4 linked regions of the Schizosaccharomyces pombe genome follow. Each later gene encodes a partner of the first gene's protein in a complex. Each region holds a gene or a part of one and is shown in the gene's direction. Other genes may lie near its edges. The genes, in order: mrp5, mug178, nam9 and mrp51.

Region 1 (3,985 bases):
ACAATATGCCTGCAAAAACAAGCATGCCTTCATCGTCAAATTTTCTGTTTTTATTAGAAGCATTTTGGTCATTCATATAATCATAGGAATTGTAGTAGTATTCTTCCCAAGACCCCATACCAGCAGAACGACGAGATCTTGAATAGGTAGGATACCTCGCTTGAGACCAATTTTGAGGCGAGGGATGTGTAGGATGAGACGGCTGATTCCAGTGAATTCCAAATCTATCGTATTCCTCACGACGTCTCTTATCAGATAGTAAAGCGTTGGCTGCCAGCAATAAACGAAAGTACTCTTCGTTGTGCTTATTAATTTCTGGCGGAGATTCCGTAGGCGCTAGCTGAGATGCATTCTTCATTTTGTCAGGATGATGCTTCTTAACCAGCTCAATATATTTTCGTTTAATGTCATTAGCCGTACACGTACGAGGTAGTTCCAAAATTTCATAAGGCGTCAATGACTTCAATTCGGAATAGGAAGTAAAACTGGCTGCTCGCCTCCATAAGCTATTTCGCACAAGATTTAACCGAAAAAATATCTTTGACATGTTCAAAACTTGTTCCAACAGAGGCGACGTTAGTTTCTGGATACGATGGAAGCTTTTATGTAGTTAATATTCAACTGAGTAAGATATCAATGTTGCTTCATTGAATGCAAACCGGCTGATCGAGCGCTGCTTTTTTTAAAGTAAAAACCGCAAGATACTCTGGTTCTATATAGTTTTAAAGCTGGATATGTAAAAGGAAGCTGGTTTGGTAAATATTTCAAGAGTTGGTACCATATCCGTCTGCTATCCCTATTTCGTGCCCTTGCTATACTACGTGGGCGAATCGCAGAGTTGTTGAGCTGCACCAACGAATGAGAAGGAAACGCAGGAAAATGTAAAGATTTAGAGTAATGGTATTTAGTAATAACAAACTTATTTTTATTTTAATATTCTTTTAAGAAAATACAAAATTTAATCGCAAACGAATTGAAATATTTTGGAAATTCTTTTTTATTGCCTTTCAAGGACGCCTTTCCTTCGTTAAAGACGCATCATTCTTTTATCGATAGATTTGAAAAAGAAGATCTTTAGTTTCAATCGTACAACACAATTCTTGCTACACGGTGTTTTTTGTTTGTTTGCATTTCGCGTTTCTTTGACCTACAACGTTGAATAGCGTCGCATTGGTGACTTACCTTGGAAATACGTTATTTATTTTCCGTTCGTAATTCTCAAAATTACAGGTTTGCCGTGGATTAAAAGATAATTTGGTCCACGCTTGCTCTTTAACTATCTTGATTGCCCTAATTGTTGTTTCTTTTAAAAAATTTCTAGAATCTTAAGTACTAAAAAAATTTGCCGAAGAGTAATTTTGAGGATAATATGGAAGTGACTATTATTTTGCTTTATTTAAAAGATTCTTTTTTTTCTCTTTTGCCTATCATGTATCCTTTTAATCATATAGTTAGGTTGAAATCAGTGATCTTTTCAATTCATTTCTTCCATGTACAATTTCAGCCGCCGCTTGTTTACAAATATAATGAGCTATTTCAAATTGTTCATTGCATCGCTAACTACGTATATTTGCTTGTAGTTCGTGCACCGTATTCATATTTATGAAGTCGAATGTACTACATTAAATGGGTGCCTTAGAAGCGTTCTTTGTAAACGGAGGATGATGAAAGGAAATCAAGAGAGAGAACTCAGAAAAAAAGGAGTTGTTAACCAGACGATAAATCAGAATTACAAGACGAGCTGATCCTAGAAAGTGATGTGCGGTTTTATGTACTTTGTCCATACCACTACTAAATAGGAACAGTAGCGAATCGTACCGAAGCGCCCTAACTACAACCAATGCCAAAGTGGTAAGTAGTTTCACGGCTGAGACAGTTATAAATTTATTTGTGCGATTCAAAAAGCATTTAAACTCATCGATAGCATTTTTTTTTGACTGAGTATCTCTTAGGGTTTTCCTCCCGTCTTTATAGCGTTAGTGACACCCTTGGTTGCAAAGTGCAATAAATATATAGGTGGTTCGGCTTTTATAAAGCGATTCCAGGAAATATTCTTACTTTCACTGCTAAGGTTCACTAAAAATTCATGATCATAACTTAAAAAATAATTTTTTTATTGATTTAATTACGATGTTACGCTCATTTTCACATTTTCTACAAATTGGCTCGAGGCGGCAGCCAACTTATTTTCGGTGTTTCCATAAAACTACCGTACATCTTAACTCTTTTAAGAATGATCCCAAAAAGGAATTAAATTCCAATTTAAACGAAAAATCCGTAGAGGAATCATCCAAGAATGAAACCAAGGAACAATTTAACTCATCGTCTATACCAAGAGAGAGTGAATCTGAAGGTAAAACTGCGTCAAATACTTCCCCATTATCACCAAAAAAGGTAGAAAATCTCAGCAAGCTTTTTAACGACATTAATGAAGATGTTTCTATCGAAGAGTTAAAGTCTCGTTTCAAAGATCACCTTCCTTTCTATGAAAACTACATTCGTAATCATCCTCTAGCCATTGAAGCACTCCAAAAGTCTACAGCACCACGTCAAACTGGTTTGAAATTGAACTATGTATCAAAATTGGATAAATATGTCACTCCTTTAGATGGATATTCTCATTTAGGATCGGAGGAGTCTAACGGGGAAATTCCTGATAAGTGGGAGGATTTTAAAGATGACCTCACGTTTGAAATTTCTTCAAAGTTTTCCCCATTTGATTTTGGCGATGCTGGTAAGAGCACAAGTGACGCTGAGTTTCTCTCGGATATTAGTGGAATCCCAAAGTCAGATCTCAGAGCCTTAATGTTCGTTCCCCTTGTAAGAAGACGTGTTGTTAATCAAACCCGTAAGGGAAAAATTGCCAGTATGTACGTACTGACTGTTGTCGGTAATCGAAATGGTGTTGCTGGTTTTGGTGAGGGAAAAGCCGAAAGCTATTCATTAGCATACAAACAATCATGTGGACGTGCTGTTAAAAATATGGTTTACATACCTCGCTACGATAAAAGGACTGTATATGGCGTTATTCATAAAAAATTTCATGCTGTCCGGTTAACATTACGATCTCGTCCAGCCGGTATGTTGTTCATTTGTTCTATAAATAATCTTTTAAAAGCTTAGACAGTTCTGTTTTCTGTTTATCGATTAGTTTTATTCGACATGTTTACTTGTCCTGCAATGACAATTTTACTAACTAAATATAGGTTTTGGACTTCGATGCAACCCCATCCTTCATGAGATCTGTAGATGCGCAGGTATAAAGGATATTAGTGGTGAGATACTTGGTTCTAAGAATGGAATGAATACTGTAAAGGCGATGTTTGAGGCTTTACAAAGTCAACGTCTCCCTGAGGATATTGCCATGGAGCGCGGCCAAAAGTTTGTTGATGTACAACGCGAGTATTACAAACAAACATGATAAAGTGACTTTTATTTTTTGTATAGATAAATATTCAATGCAGTCAGTACTCTAATTCTTTACTTCTGGAAACCATTGTGCAGCTTTGTTGTGCAAGATATTCATCTACATCCAATTTGTATCATTATTTCTTTAAACATCGTACATCATTAAAGTCTGAATAAGCTCGTTAATTATAACGTACTACAAAACTCCTATCACTCAACCCTACCCTAGCTAAGAAGTACAGTCACAGGCCTTCGAAACGGAAATTATCTTAGACAAAATTAACGACACCACCAACACTTTGCAGGATGGGACGTGATATATACAAGGACGAGACTTTGACAATCCCCAAGGGTGTTACTGTTGACATTAAGGCACGTAATGTTACAGTTACCGGTCCTCGTGGTACTCTCAAGCAAAACTTGCGCCATGTTGATATTGAAATGAAGAAGCAAGGCAATACTATTAAGTTCATTGTCTGGCACGGATCTCGCAAACATAATGCTTGCATCCGTTCCGTCTATTCTATCATTAACAACATGATTATCGGTGTCACCCAAGGTTTCCGCTACAAAATGC
Region 2 (4,262 bases), on another chromosome or scaffold:
ATCAGAAGGAACAGGCTTCTTTAACTCTAAAGGATTTAAGTCAATTTTTCGATAAATGTTTTCTGTTCTAGCTATCTTGGCAGCGTTTACAATATTTTCCATTAGCATAGCAACAGTCATCGGTCCGACGCCTCCAGGGACAGGAGTAATGCTGCTAGCAACTTTGGATGCAGATTCGAAATGCACATCGCCAACCAAAACGCGTTTTCCATTTCTTTGAACAGCGTTTATGCCAACATCTACCACAACAGATCCTGGTTTCAACCATTCACCACGAACAAATTCGGGTTTGCCTAATGCTGCTATAACCAAATCAGCATTAGAAATGTGCTGAATTAAATCTTTAGTTTTAGAATGACAGACAGTTACTGTAGCATTGTCCTTTCTCAACAAGTAGCTAATTGGATTTCCGACAATGTCACTTCTTCCCAGAACTACAGCGTTCAATCCAGCGACTGAAATCTTGTTATCTTTTAATAACTCCATAATACCTTTCGGGGTACAGGGATAATGAATGGGGGTAGCATCATTCTTTGCCAATAAACCAATGTTAAATGCACCAAATCCATCAACGTCTTTCGGCGGAGTGATAGATTCAGTAACTGTACGCTCATTGAGATGCTTGGGAAGAGGAAGTTGGACAAGGACACCGTGAACCGTATGATCGTCATTCAATTTTTTTAATTCATGAAGCAAGGCAGGCATTTGGATTGTTTCAGGAAACGGGCAGTATTTAAAATCAATACCAACTAATCGTGCCGCCTTTTCTTTCATTCGAACGTACACGTTAGAATCCTCACGTTTTCCAACCTGTACAATGGCAAGCGCCGGCTTAAAGTTTCGATCCTTAGCTTTCAAGGCCTGCACTTCTTCAGCAACAGAACGTTGTAATTTTCTAATTAGTCGCTACATTAGTAACCTCAAAGAGAAATAAAAATATAAAGTTTTAAGAGCAAAAAAATCTGATGAAACCTCAAACGTGCTGCAATGCCCAATACAATTTTTTAACTTCTAAGTATCGACAAAAAAATTGAAGAATATACGGAATTAAGCAATGTACGCAAATCAATTTTCAAACCACCAAAATTTTATCGTCAAAGACAAACACAGAAATGCACGCTCATCTGCATAGAGAAAATTTAGAATATAAACTTTATCTTACCTTGCCAATAATTTTCCATTTAGGATATTCGCAGAACTTGAAGTACCATACGACTGAAAAAGCCATTTCGATGGCCGTAAGCTGTTGCTTTCTAGAAAATAGTTTCGTAATTGATTAAACGAAACCATTACGTTCATAGAAAGACACCCAGAAGTGGTAGGGTAGTAAGGGAACCTGCCTGTCCTCTGGTGGTGTGTTAAAGCAAAATTTTTATTGGTAGTCAGGTAATCTATGTTGAATAATACGCTTACAGTAGAATATGAACCGAAACATTTTAATAGCGATTGTATTAAAGCAATGTATTCATTCTCGTATAATTTATTCTTCAAGCTCGAATAGTGACTGGAACAATTGCATTATTGCAAATCATAATGTATTGAACAAGTAATAATATACCTAAGCCTTTGAGATAGCTAATAAGCACACAAATAGTCAAAGAAAAAGTTTAAAAATCTGTTACATGATATACAGAATCTCAAGATCAAATATAATAGACAAATATAAACAACAAACGATCTGACAAGCAACTCATTAATTATCAGTAAATAAACTTAGACTAGAAAAATCATATAGTTTAGTTTAGTAGAGATAAACTCATTAATGAACAAGGAAGAACACACAAATTTACCGAAAGTTAACCTTTATAAGTTTCACTTTTCTTATGATAGCCATACCTTTAGTATTACTAATTTATAATTATAAAAAAAATTCCCGTTAAATTTAATAAGTACAAGCTAAAATCGTACTCAGTCATGGTTTACTCGAGTGTAAACAATTAAAGCACTCTGTTTCTCTATCCAACAGTGTGCGAGTCAAGTAACATTGCTACTTGAGGAGAGTGAACGTTTACTACACAACATGCCGACATGACCTCCTAACGAAAGCGATTCTATAACTTCAAACTAGCTATTGTAACATTGGCCATAATTTTGTATATTAATAGAGAGAATTTCATCTCGTATATACTTTTCATGAGTGTGCACACTTGATGTAAAACACTTCGCAAGCTGGATTGCACGACAAAAGTATATAAATAGCTGGCATCAAAAAATTACAGTCGTATTCGTGTGTTTTCTGAGTGATTGCTATTGATATTGACAATATTGACTCATTAGAAGTACCCACTTTCGTTCAGCAGTTACTTTTCGGTGGTGGTTTACATTGGGCAGAATTTGGATGTTTCTGACAAAGTATATCTTTAATCAAAATTATAATGAAGTTTCCTGATTTGTTGAGATGCTCCCGAGCAGTTAGTTTAGCAAGACCAGACTTGCCGAGGAACTCCCCTGATGTCTATGATACGAAGATTCCCATCCTACAAGCAATTACTGCGAAGAAATGCCAAAGATTTCGCGGCGATTGGGGAGCTAAGAGGAAGTTACCGATCCTAAAAAACCGTCATATTTCCATACAAAAGTTTGACACATTCGAGCATCAGTGTGCCTTCATCAGCAGTGACAGATTCGTACGCACCTTGAAACGAATTTACGACCTTAAGCTCCCTGTTCCGCTTAATGATTATGAACAAATTTCCCCTTACCTTTTACAGAAATACAACACTTTCTCAAGCTCAAATCCTAAATCCAGACCTACACTTCCACCAGGTATATTATACGCCAAATTGAAACTTTTAGATTCTTTTTCTGATTCTGAAAAGAAGCGCCTAAGTTTAGTATCCTTTATTCAAACTAAAAAAGTCCCGTTACCATTTACTTACGGAAAATTTGCACCCGACTCTAAAGAATGTTTATTTGGTGTCTCAGGAGTTATAGCTGCTACTTCTCTCAAAGGAATTACTTCAACAAAAAATCGATACGTAATTCGATCTCTTAATGTCGATGAAACCGGTAAAACCATTCCAAATATCACACGAGAAAATAGGAGTATTTAATACCATAATACAAGTTGACATTGACAATAAAAAACAGTAAAACGATTATTTCTCCCGTGAGTCACTTCGGTTTTCTTAAAACAATAGCTTTTCTTTCAAGGAATTGTTTCTTAATATTGTTTTCGTCTGTTGATAATCGTCTATTATGAAGATCCATCCATATTTAACATTTATTTCATCTGCTTACGATCCTGAGTTTTTGAGTTAGGGAAATTAATTGCACGGACTACTTTCTCCTTGAGCTATCATGATATGCCTTTAAGATCATTAAATATTTTTAACCGTTATTTTGCATTGTAGTGAACCGCTTTTTTCTCCCTCTTTTTGTTCATGGAGAGATTCTATACACCTATTACTTTTTCTAGGAAATAATATTGTCAACAAGCTTGTTTATTATTCCCACCATTCTTGTTTAAAAAAGATTGAATTTTTATTGTTTGTTTTTTGAGTGATTTTAACTTATTTTGGTTCTTGTAATTTTCGTTATGGCCGTATCGCATTACTGGAAACCTACGATGTTCCTAAGGGTGTCCGTTTATATTGAACTCTGTTTGGTTTATATTATGTACGCACGTGCTAAAAAATTTGCATAAATAAATTAATAAGCTTATATCAATCAACGCTTCCCGACAGTGTATTAAATTGTAAATCCGATAAACTTTGTAAACGTCTTTTGAATTTGCTTCTTAATTACCCAGTTACTCTAGTACCTACTAAGAGATAAAATCGTGTTTTATTAGCAATCATTATTTTTCTTTTCTTCGTACAATCTTTTATTCAAGCATTTTACTGTAACTCGTTATTTTGCTTTGTACAATAACACTCAGTATTATACCACAATACATTTTGAATGTTAACACGTACATAGCATGTTGTTATAATGTCGAGTAGTTCAAGTCATTTTTCGGTAATTTAACTTTCATAAAATTCGGAATTACTAACTTAAACAAAAGTCTACCGCTGCTGATTTGCTAGCAGTCTTCAGCTCAGATAATAAGGACAAATCTGCAAACAAACGAATTTCTGCTTTAAAGAAAGCAATTGCAGGCATATCTTATGGATATGATATGAGTTCACTGTTTCCATCGGTGATATCTTCTATGGAATCTAATAATCTAGAATTAAAAAAACTATGCTATTTGTACTTGAAAATTTACGCGAGGTTTGTAAAAGTTTCTTTATTTTTTACTAATTGACAGCGTGAAACCC
Region 3 (3,289 bases), on another chromosome or scaffold:
TTTCGCAATCCTCTTGAATAATTGAGTTTCGAATACGTGCGCCATCCTCGATGCGAACACGAGCACCAATTGAAACATTGGGTCCAATCTTTGCACCTTTGCTAACAATAGCATTAGGATGAATAAAAACCGGCTGAATGATCTCAGCCTCAGTGTCGGGTTTTGGAAGAGTACCATCATGATATGCCTTTTGTAAATACAAGGAATTAGCAGGAACAGCAGAGCCAGCGGTTTTTATTTGACGCCAGAACTCAGGAGTATTATAAGCATAAATGGCTTTAGAGGAATCTGAGCACAATGGAGCAAGCACATCGGTCTCCAAACTGAGGTAGTCTTCCATTCCTTCATCCAAGGACCTGAGTTGCTTCTCGACCTCCTCAAGTCTACGCTCGTACGCTTTTTTGATTTCATCGAATATAGAGGCATCAAAGATATAAATACCACATGAAATAATATTTGAAAGATAGGAGCTTGGCTTATCAACATAATGAAGTACACGCCCAGTACTTGGTTCCTCTACAAGGCAACCGAAGTTAGAAGCATCTTCTTTACTAACCTTAGTAGCCATTAAAGTAACTAAAGCTTTCTTCTCGTGATGAACGTTTAACAATTCTTGTAAGGGAAAACTGCAACACACATCCGCATGCATAACAAAAACATTAGAAGTATGTCCTTTAAGGATTTGATCACGGAAATGGTATAAGCCGCCACCAGTTCCTAAGCAGTTGTATTCACGGAGATACTTGATACGATTGAAACTGGGGAAATGCGAAGCTACTTCGTTGATAAAATCTTTGAAAACGCTTTCATCGTAGAAACCAACCAAAAAGACATCTTTAACACTTTCAATCTTGGATAAAGCCGCCAAATGATGGTAAATCATTTCTCGTCCTCCAATTTTAAACAAAGGCTAATTTAGTTAGCAAAATAGCTCTTATGTTTCAAATGCAACTAGAAAGTAAAACTGGATTACGTATTTTACCAACATATAAATTCTAAATAAGACGTACTTTAGGGACATCAAACGAAAGAGGGCGGAATCGGGTACCACTGCAAAGTAATTAGTTACTGATATTCACGCGTTTAATAGACTTATTTTTCGTTGGTACGTACCGAGATGGACCCCCGACCAGAATGACAGCAGAGGAAATCATAATAGCAATTTAATACTAAAAAATCAATAATGAGTATCAAAATCACCAAAAACGAAAGAGATATACGCCTCTTGAAACTTGGTGTGTGGTTCTGTGCAAGTCCTGTCCAGCTCTCCTTTGTTTAATAAGGAAGGTAGCGCTATGAGCTAACTTCTGCCAGTTCATATTTGCACTTAATAGCCTGGCTGCAGAAGATAATACTCTATGTAACAATGAAATACTAATGTAAATCAATTTAGTTCAAAAACCCATGATCTAAAAATTGTGCTGCAGGCTGAGGCACTTTGCCAGCCGTGAGGAACTTAATGCTCATCATCAGCTGTTTTGCAGAAAATAGTAAAGCACCTTCTAGCTTTGGTACAAATTATAATGCATTAAAACTTAAATAAATAAAATTTACTAATTGAATTTTCGAGTAAAAGTAGCCTTTTTAAAAATTTGTTCTCTTTAATCACCTTTATGAATTTACCATCAACTTCACGCACTACGCTGGAAGATTGGACTCTCGTGACAAAGACTTAATTGCTCATGAAGGGGAAATTTAGGTTCTCTTTAAAGCGCGGTGTATGTTATATATGAAATTATTGATTTTTTCGCTTTTATTAATACATATCTAGCTTTTGCGTCCGTCGTGGAACAAATACAATATATACAACATTGCAAGAAAACAACTACCTGCTCTGAATAATAGAACTTTATATCAAAAAAAATGGAATGCGAAGAAGGAAACAAGGTCTTATCATGGTCCTCAATTACGCGAATATCAACTGAAAAATGCCTTCCGCCCAAAATTGGAGGGGGTTATTTCTTCCTTAGATAATAAGCTTCCCATCCCTTTTATGAATCAGACTTATGCATTTTTGGAATCCCGTTTAGACATGTCTATTCATCGAGCGTTATTTGCGTCTAGCGCTTTACAGGCTCGCCAACTGGTGCTTCATGGAAAAGTGCACGTAAACGGAAAACCTGAACGCCGTGCCTATCGTCAACTCTTACCTGGTGATTTAGTAACTGTTGATCAAAAATCAGTAATGAATTGTGTTTCTGCCTCTAGTAACAATACCCCTTCTATACAGGATGGGAAGCAAACTGAACAGGTGTCCTCTAAGGATGGAGAAAATGAAAAAAAAAAGGATAATGATGATGATTTATTTGAACAGACTTCTAATGGAAAGTTGCCCTCTATCAATGAAACAATTTCCAACTTTGTTCCTAAACCGTTTATGTCACTAATGGCATTTATCCCTGCTTATTTAGAAGTTTGCTTCCGCACTTGTTCCTTTGTTTATGTGCGTGATCCAGTTGCTCGTCCTGGCTTAACGGAAGTTCCTTCTCCATTTCCTGAAGACTTGCACGCTTTAGCCTATACATACTATATCAGAAGTCGTAATATGCGGCAAGGAGCAGCTAGATGTCAGGCCAGACGGCTTATTCCGCAGAAAGTACGCGATGCATCATTTTATCAAGGACCTCCTGAATTATATAAAAAACGAAATGTTTCTCCCAAAGAAGCATTCTCTCATCGGTATCCAGTTCGTCAAGGAAAGTTGACGAAACTCGTATAAATCGAATAAATGAACTCCTCTCAAAAGTTTAGTAATAAAATATAAAACATTCTCAATTATGCTTTTTGTAATACTATGTTGATTTCCACTTTTGTTTTCCTGCTCTATGAAGTAACTGCCCTGTCTACTGCTATCCACGTAACCAAATCTTATACACATACAAGAACTGGCACATCTTTTTTCATGTACCAAAAGGAGGCCTTTTATCGTGGACGTAGCTCAACAAGACAATTTAACAATACCCGATCTCCATCTGGACGTTCAGCGTCGCGTTCTTCCAATTTCTCACATCGGTCTAGTAGTCGTGATTCTTTTTCCTCGAATAGATCTTACTCGAGTTCGCTTTCCAGATCTCCAGAAGAACCATTGCGAACAGTACGTTTTCCATGTATAATTAGTTATTTAAGGCATACTAATCGTTTCTAATACGATGCAAAATAGATTCTTGTGGAAAATTTGACGCGTAATGTCACTAAAGAACATATAGCAGAAATATTTGGGATTTATGGACTAATTGATCATATTTTCATGCCAATTTATAAAAAATGTGAGTGAGCTTTTATTTTTTAT
Region 4 (4,025 bases), 1.8 Mb from region 1:
AAAACCAAACAAAAAGGAGATCTTTTATCTAAGATTCAATCGTATAGGGCTGGGTATACGGTTCAGGAACGCAGGAAGATAGAGAGTGAAATGTTTAACGGGAAATTATATGGGATTATTGCGACGAATGCTTTAGAGCTAGGTATTGATATAGGATCACTGGATGCCGTTATAACCATAGGATTTCCATATTCTTTGTCTAACTTGCGCCAGCAATTTGGTCGTGCTGGTAGAAGGAATAAGTCTTCCTTAGCAGTATATATAGTTGAGACATTTCCCGTTGATCAGTTTTATTTAAAGCATCCTATTTTGATTCACACTCAACCAAATGCTGAACTCACTTTAGACTTGACAAATGAGGTATTACTAGCGAGTCATCTTCAGTGTGCTGCATATGAGCTTCCCATTAACATAAGGAGCGACGAAAAGTTTTTTGGAAATCAAATTCAAGACATTTGCGAAGCAAATTTAGAAATGGTTGAAGAGAGTTATCGGCCTCATCCAAAATATCTTCCTTTTCCTGCCTCGCAGGTACGGATACGAAGCGTTAGTGAAGACATGTTTACTCTCGTCGATGTCACAAATGATAAGAATGTTATTCTAGAACTCCTCGAACCTTTTCGTGTTGCATTAACTGCTTACGAAGGTGCAGTTTATGTTTATCAAGGAAAAACGTTTATCATTAGGCTCCTAAATATTAACAAGAGAATTATTACTGCTCATCAAGTTGATGTTGAATGGTCAACATTGCAAAGAGATTTCACAGATGTTGATCCTGTTCGCAGCTTAATGAAGAAGACTATGCATGGAAGTACAAACATTTATTTTGGGGCTGTTAAAGCAACATTACATGTATTTGGGTATTTCAAAGTTAACAAGCAGAAAGATATTCTGGACGTGGTAGATATTACCGATCATCCTGTTGAAATTGATAGTCGAGGTTTCTGGATAGATGTACCTTGGCATATCATTGAGGTTTTGTCATTAAAAAAAATAAATGGAGCCGCTAGTATACATGCTGCCCAACATGCTTTACTTTCGTTGATGCCAATTTTTATTAGTAACAGCGGTAACGATATTCGAACAGAATGTAAAGCGGGTGAAAAGGAGTATAAAGAGGCTAAAAGCGAGCGAAGACGTCCTTCCCGACTCATTTTCTATGATAATTGTGGTGATTCATCTGGTGCTGGTTTATGCAACAAGGCATATGAACATACTGATGAATTAATTACAATGGCCATTGAGCGAATTGAGAGTTGCGATTGCAAAGTTCGTGAAGGTTGTCCCGGATGTATTACGAGTTCAAAATTTGAAGGCGGAGTTTGCTCTGGAGAAGTACTTGACAAGGGTAAGTATAGATATACTTTGCATTTTTTGTTGGACGGTGAAGCAATCCCGTATAGATTGGTCGCTTAGTAGTTTGTAAGATAACACTCTCATTTTTTTTATGATCAAATGAAAAGGGATTGCTTGCAAACTTAAATAGATTATTCACATTACTTCTACTAACATATTTCTTTCAGTTGGCGCTTTAATCTTATTGAAAATGCTACTGTGTCAACATGTAAATTTAGATATATATGCTGATGGACCAGAGATTGATTCATATCACGCTTTGCGAACTTTAATACCTTCTTGTTAATAATTGAATTTATTTTTTTTATTTTGTTTATATTAGACTAAATTATTAGTTAGTACTACTAATATTGCGTTGTGCTTTTTGATTTTACATTTAAACCCTACCCTAACTTACCGGAGTCAATGTTAGATACTGACAGCGCTCAGTGCTTACTACCGTACAGCCACCGTTCTCCTCATAGAAGCCAAGTCCCAATATAAATCTTGAATTTTTGTAAAAATATGAGTTTTGCACAAATTCTCCGTGGCTCGAGGGCAATGGCTTCTCCAAAATGTCTTCCAGAATCCAATTATTCAACATCACACCTTCGGTTTCCTCGATTGCAATCCATAACTTCAAAAAAAAATAGTAGAGCTCGTGGTGATTGGGGACTGAAAAGGACTCTTCCAAAAATAAAGACAAGATACATATGTGTGCGGCAGCAAGATTCCTTATACAAGCAAGCAGATTTTCAATCAAGCGCTAAATTTGTTCGTCTAGTTCGCAATTGGTTTGATGCTGGATTTGTACGAGATCCTTCTGAAGTTGCTTTGTTGCAAGAATTATTGAAAGAAACGGGGTTGAAAGATACGCGTGACATAAATAAGGTATTTTCTCCTTCTAAACAATCCGACGAAAATGATAACTTTCGCCGTTACGGAGTTTCTGGCGGTATTCAATACAGTAATGTTCCTTTAATTAATTCTCGAGTAACACCTAATTGTGAATCAAATTGTTCCAATATTCGACGTCGACTTACGGCCCATATAATTAGTTCAGATGCCTCTACTGCATACTACGGTTTAGGGGGCTTGATTCTGAGGCTACCTCGAACAGTTGTCTTTAATAGAAATCGGTCATCTCCCCTCTTTTCCCAGGAACAGCGCATTTCTTATACAGTCTATAAAAATGGTCGACTCCGACTAGTTCCCTTTTCCGGTCCCGAGTTAGAAACACATCTTGCCTATCCCTCGGAAGACTCGGAGGTTGAATCGTTTTTTAACAGAGATATTCAATTGGTAGCCAAAAGAGATTCATCTCTCGATGCTCCCGTATCCTATCAACGGGGTATTATGAAATTTTTTATGGCTCCCTCTCAAACCTCAAATAATGAAGCTAATTCCTCAGAGAAAGATAACCTCTCTAATTCGTAGAGGACTTTATGATCATGTGCATTTATGCTATCTCCTTATGGTTTACTCGATTTTAAGTTGCATTTAACAACCTATCATTTTTATTATTAAGAAGGTTCGTTTAAGTCTCCTATATTCTGTTGTTATCCCACAGTACAATCTACCACTAGCAATAATCTTAACGACATACGATTCTCCTTTAAAAAATCTTTCAATCTATTTATTCTTACTTCTCTTTGTGTGGCATCAAATTCTTGTACCAATAATGGGTCTATTGCTTCAAATGACTCTTACACTTTCCATTTGTTTCCCTATTTACTAGTTTACCCTAAACTGCGTTTTGCACTTGACGGTTGTTCATTTTGGTGAACAGTCATAACACTTGAACTGAATGTGTTTTCTAAGAAGTTTGTTTGGTTTGCAATGTTACATCCTTGTTCTCTGGGTGTTAGTGAAAGTCACTCTCGTTAATCTTGACTAGGTATATATTTCAGTTAACCGTTATTTTCGGTTTCACCTCGAAATAAATGTTTTTTGTTGATTATATAAGCGCAAGCGTTTGAAAAAAGAGTTAGAATTTTGTAAAGGATTTTTTTTTTCCGAAATTGTCTTTAAGTACAGTTCAATAACTTACAAAATCTTATCCTTTTACCATACATTGTTAATTGTGCATTTCAACTGTTTAATTAGATATAACTGATTATTAGCATATACTATAAAAATGACTGTAGATGTGTATATATATTTCAAAAGTTGAATCACATAGCCCAATCTTTGGTATATATGTGAATATAATTCAGCAAACAACTTCCACGAGATATAAGTCTTCTAAAAACATAGGGCGTGTCGTCAAAAAATGATATAAATAATCCCAATCGTCAAAGATATATCAGTGAAAGAATATACTGACAGACGATCATTAAGGACTATTCAAATCTGCTTCGCAATTGAACAATTTAAAAAAATGAGTGCTGCTCTTTAGGAAGTTTGAGTTATTTGTGATAAAATGATAAGAACTTAAAACCATAGTAAAATAATTACCATTAATTCCAACCAAGCCAAGATCGACGCATTACACGCCACACAGTAACTTCTCCACTCTTTAAATCACCGAATTTGTAGCTTGCAACTGAAACCTTCTTGGACTCTCTGCCTTGTTCCAACACCCTAATCTTCAGTTTCGAAACATCCCACTCTGATATGATACCATAATGCATGGGCTTACCAACTTCAAGAGAGTATTTTGAACGAAGAGTACCTTTTTGTCCACTAAA

What was found.
Region 2: mrp5 (region 1) and mug178 share a complex: the UniProt entries of both Schizosaccharomyces pombe proteins name them as parts of the mitochondrial small ribosomal subunit.
Region 3: mrp5 (region 1) and nam9 share a complex: the UniProt entries of both Schizosaccharomyces pombe proteins name them as parts of the mitochondrial small ribosomal subunit.
Region 4: mrp5 (region 1) and mrp51 share a complex: the UniProt entries of both Schizosaccharomyces pombe proteins name them as parts of the mitochondrial small ribosomal subunit.

The regions. Positions count from the first base shown.
Region 1 is NC_003424.3:2,283,939-2,287,923, reverse strand, and holds mrp5 (mitochondrial 37S ribosomal protein uS5m), read left to right. Parts: upstream 1-1,910; 5' UTR 1,911-2,130; coding exon 2,131-3,079; intron 3,080-3,206; coding exon 3,207-3,421; 3' UTR 3,422-3,442; downstream 3,443-3,985. Other genes in the region: SPOM_SPAC4G9.19 (DNAJB family protein), read right to left, coding at 1-547; rpl901 (60S ribosomal protein L9), read left to right, coding at 3,715-3,985. UniProt on the Schizosaccharomyces pombe protein: Component of the mitochondrial ribosome (mitoribosome), a dedicated translation machinery responsible for the synthesis of mitochondrial genome-encoded proteins, including at least some of the essential transmembrane subunits of the mitochondrial respiratory chain.
Region 2 is NC_003423.3:3,446,004-3,450,265, reverse strand, and holds mug178 (mitochondrial 37S ribosomal protein bS1m), read left to right. Parts: upstream 1-2,041; 5' UTR 2,042-2,375; coding exon 2,376-3,053; 3' UTR 3,054-3,750; downstream 3,751-4,262. Other genes in the region: ade9 (trifunctional formate-tetrahydrofolate ligase/methenyltetrahydrofolate cyclohydrolase/methylenetetrahydrofolate dehydrogenase), read right to left, coding at 1-895, 1,163-1,299; AP-2 adaptor complex subunit Apl1, read left to right, coding at 3,934-3,960, 4,007-4,215, 4,253-4,262. UniProt on the Schizosaccharomyces pombe protein: Component of the mitochondrial ribosome (mitoribosome), a dedicated translation machinery responsible for the synthesis of mitochondrial genome-encoded proteins, including at least some of the essential transmembrane subunits of the mitochondrial respiratory chain.
Region 3 is NC_003423.3:3,727,682-3,730,970, reverse strand, and holds nam9 (mitochondrial 37S ribosomal protein uS4m), read left to right. Parts: upstream 1-1,621; 5' UTR 1,622-1,682; coding exon 1,683-1,718; intron 1,719-1,771; coding exon 1,772-2,719; 3' UTR 2,720-2,776; downstream 2,777-3,289. Other genes in the region: mpg2 (mannose-1-phosphate guanyltransferase), read right to left, coding at 1-910, 1,011-1,050, 1,114-1,154; rns1 (putative RNA-binding protein), read left to right, coding at 2,903-3,094, 3,161-3,266. UniProt on the Schizosaccharomyces pombe protein: Component of the mitochondrial ribosome (mitoribosome), a dedicated translation machinery responsible for the synthesis of mitochondrial genome-encoded proteins, including at least some of the essential transmembrane subunits of the mitochondrial respiratory chain.
Region 4 is NC_003424.3:4,111,432-4,115,456, reverse strand, and holds mrp51 (mitochondrial 37S ribosomal protein bS1m), read left to right. Parts: upstream 1-1,798; 5' UTR 1,799-1,860; coding exon 1,861-2,772; 3' UTR 2,773-3,487; downstream 3,488-4,025. Other genes in the region: RecQ type DNA helicase Hrq1, read left to right, coding at 1-1,348, 1,524-1,642; bbc1 (SH3 domain-containing protein), read right to left, coding at 3,795-4,025. UniProt on the Schizosaccharomyces pombe protein: Component of the mitochondrial ribosome (mitoribosome), a dedicated translation machinery responsible for the synthesis of mitochondrial genome-encoded proteins, including at least some of the essential transmembrane subunits of the mitochondrial respiratory chain.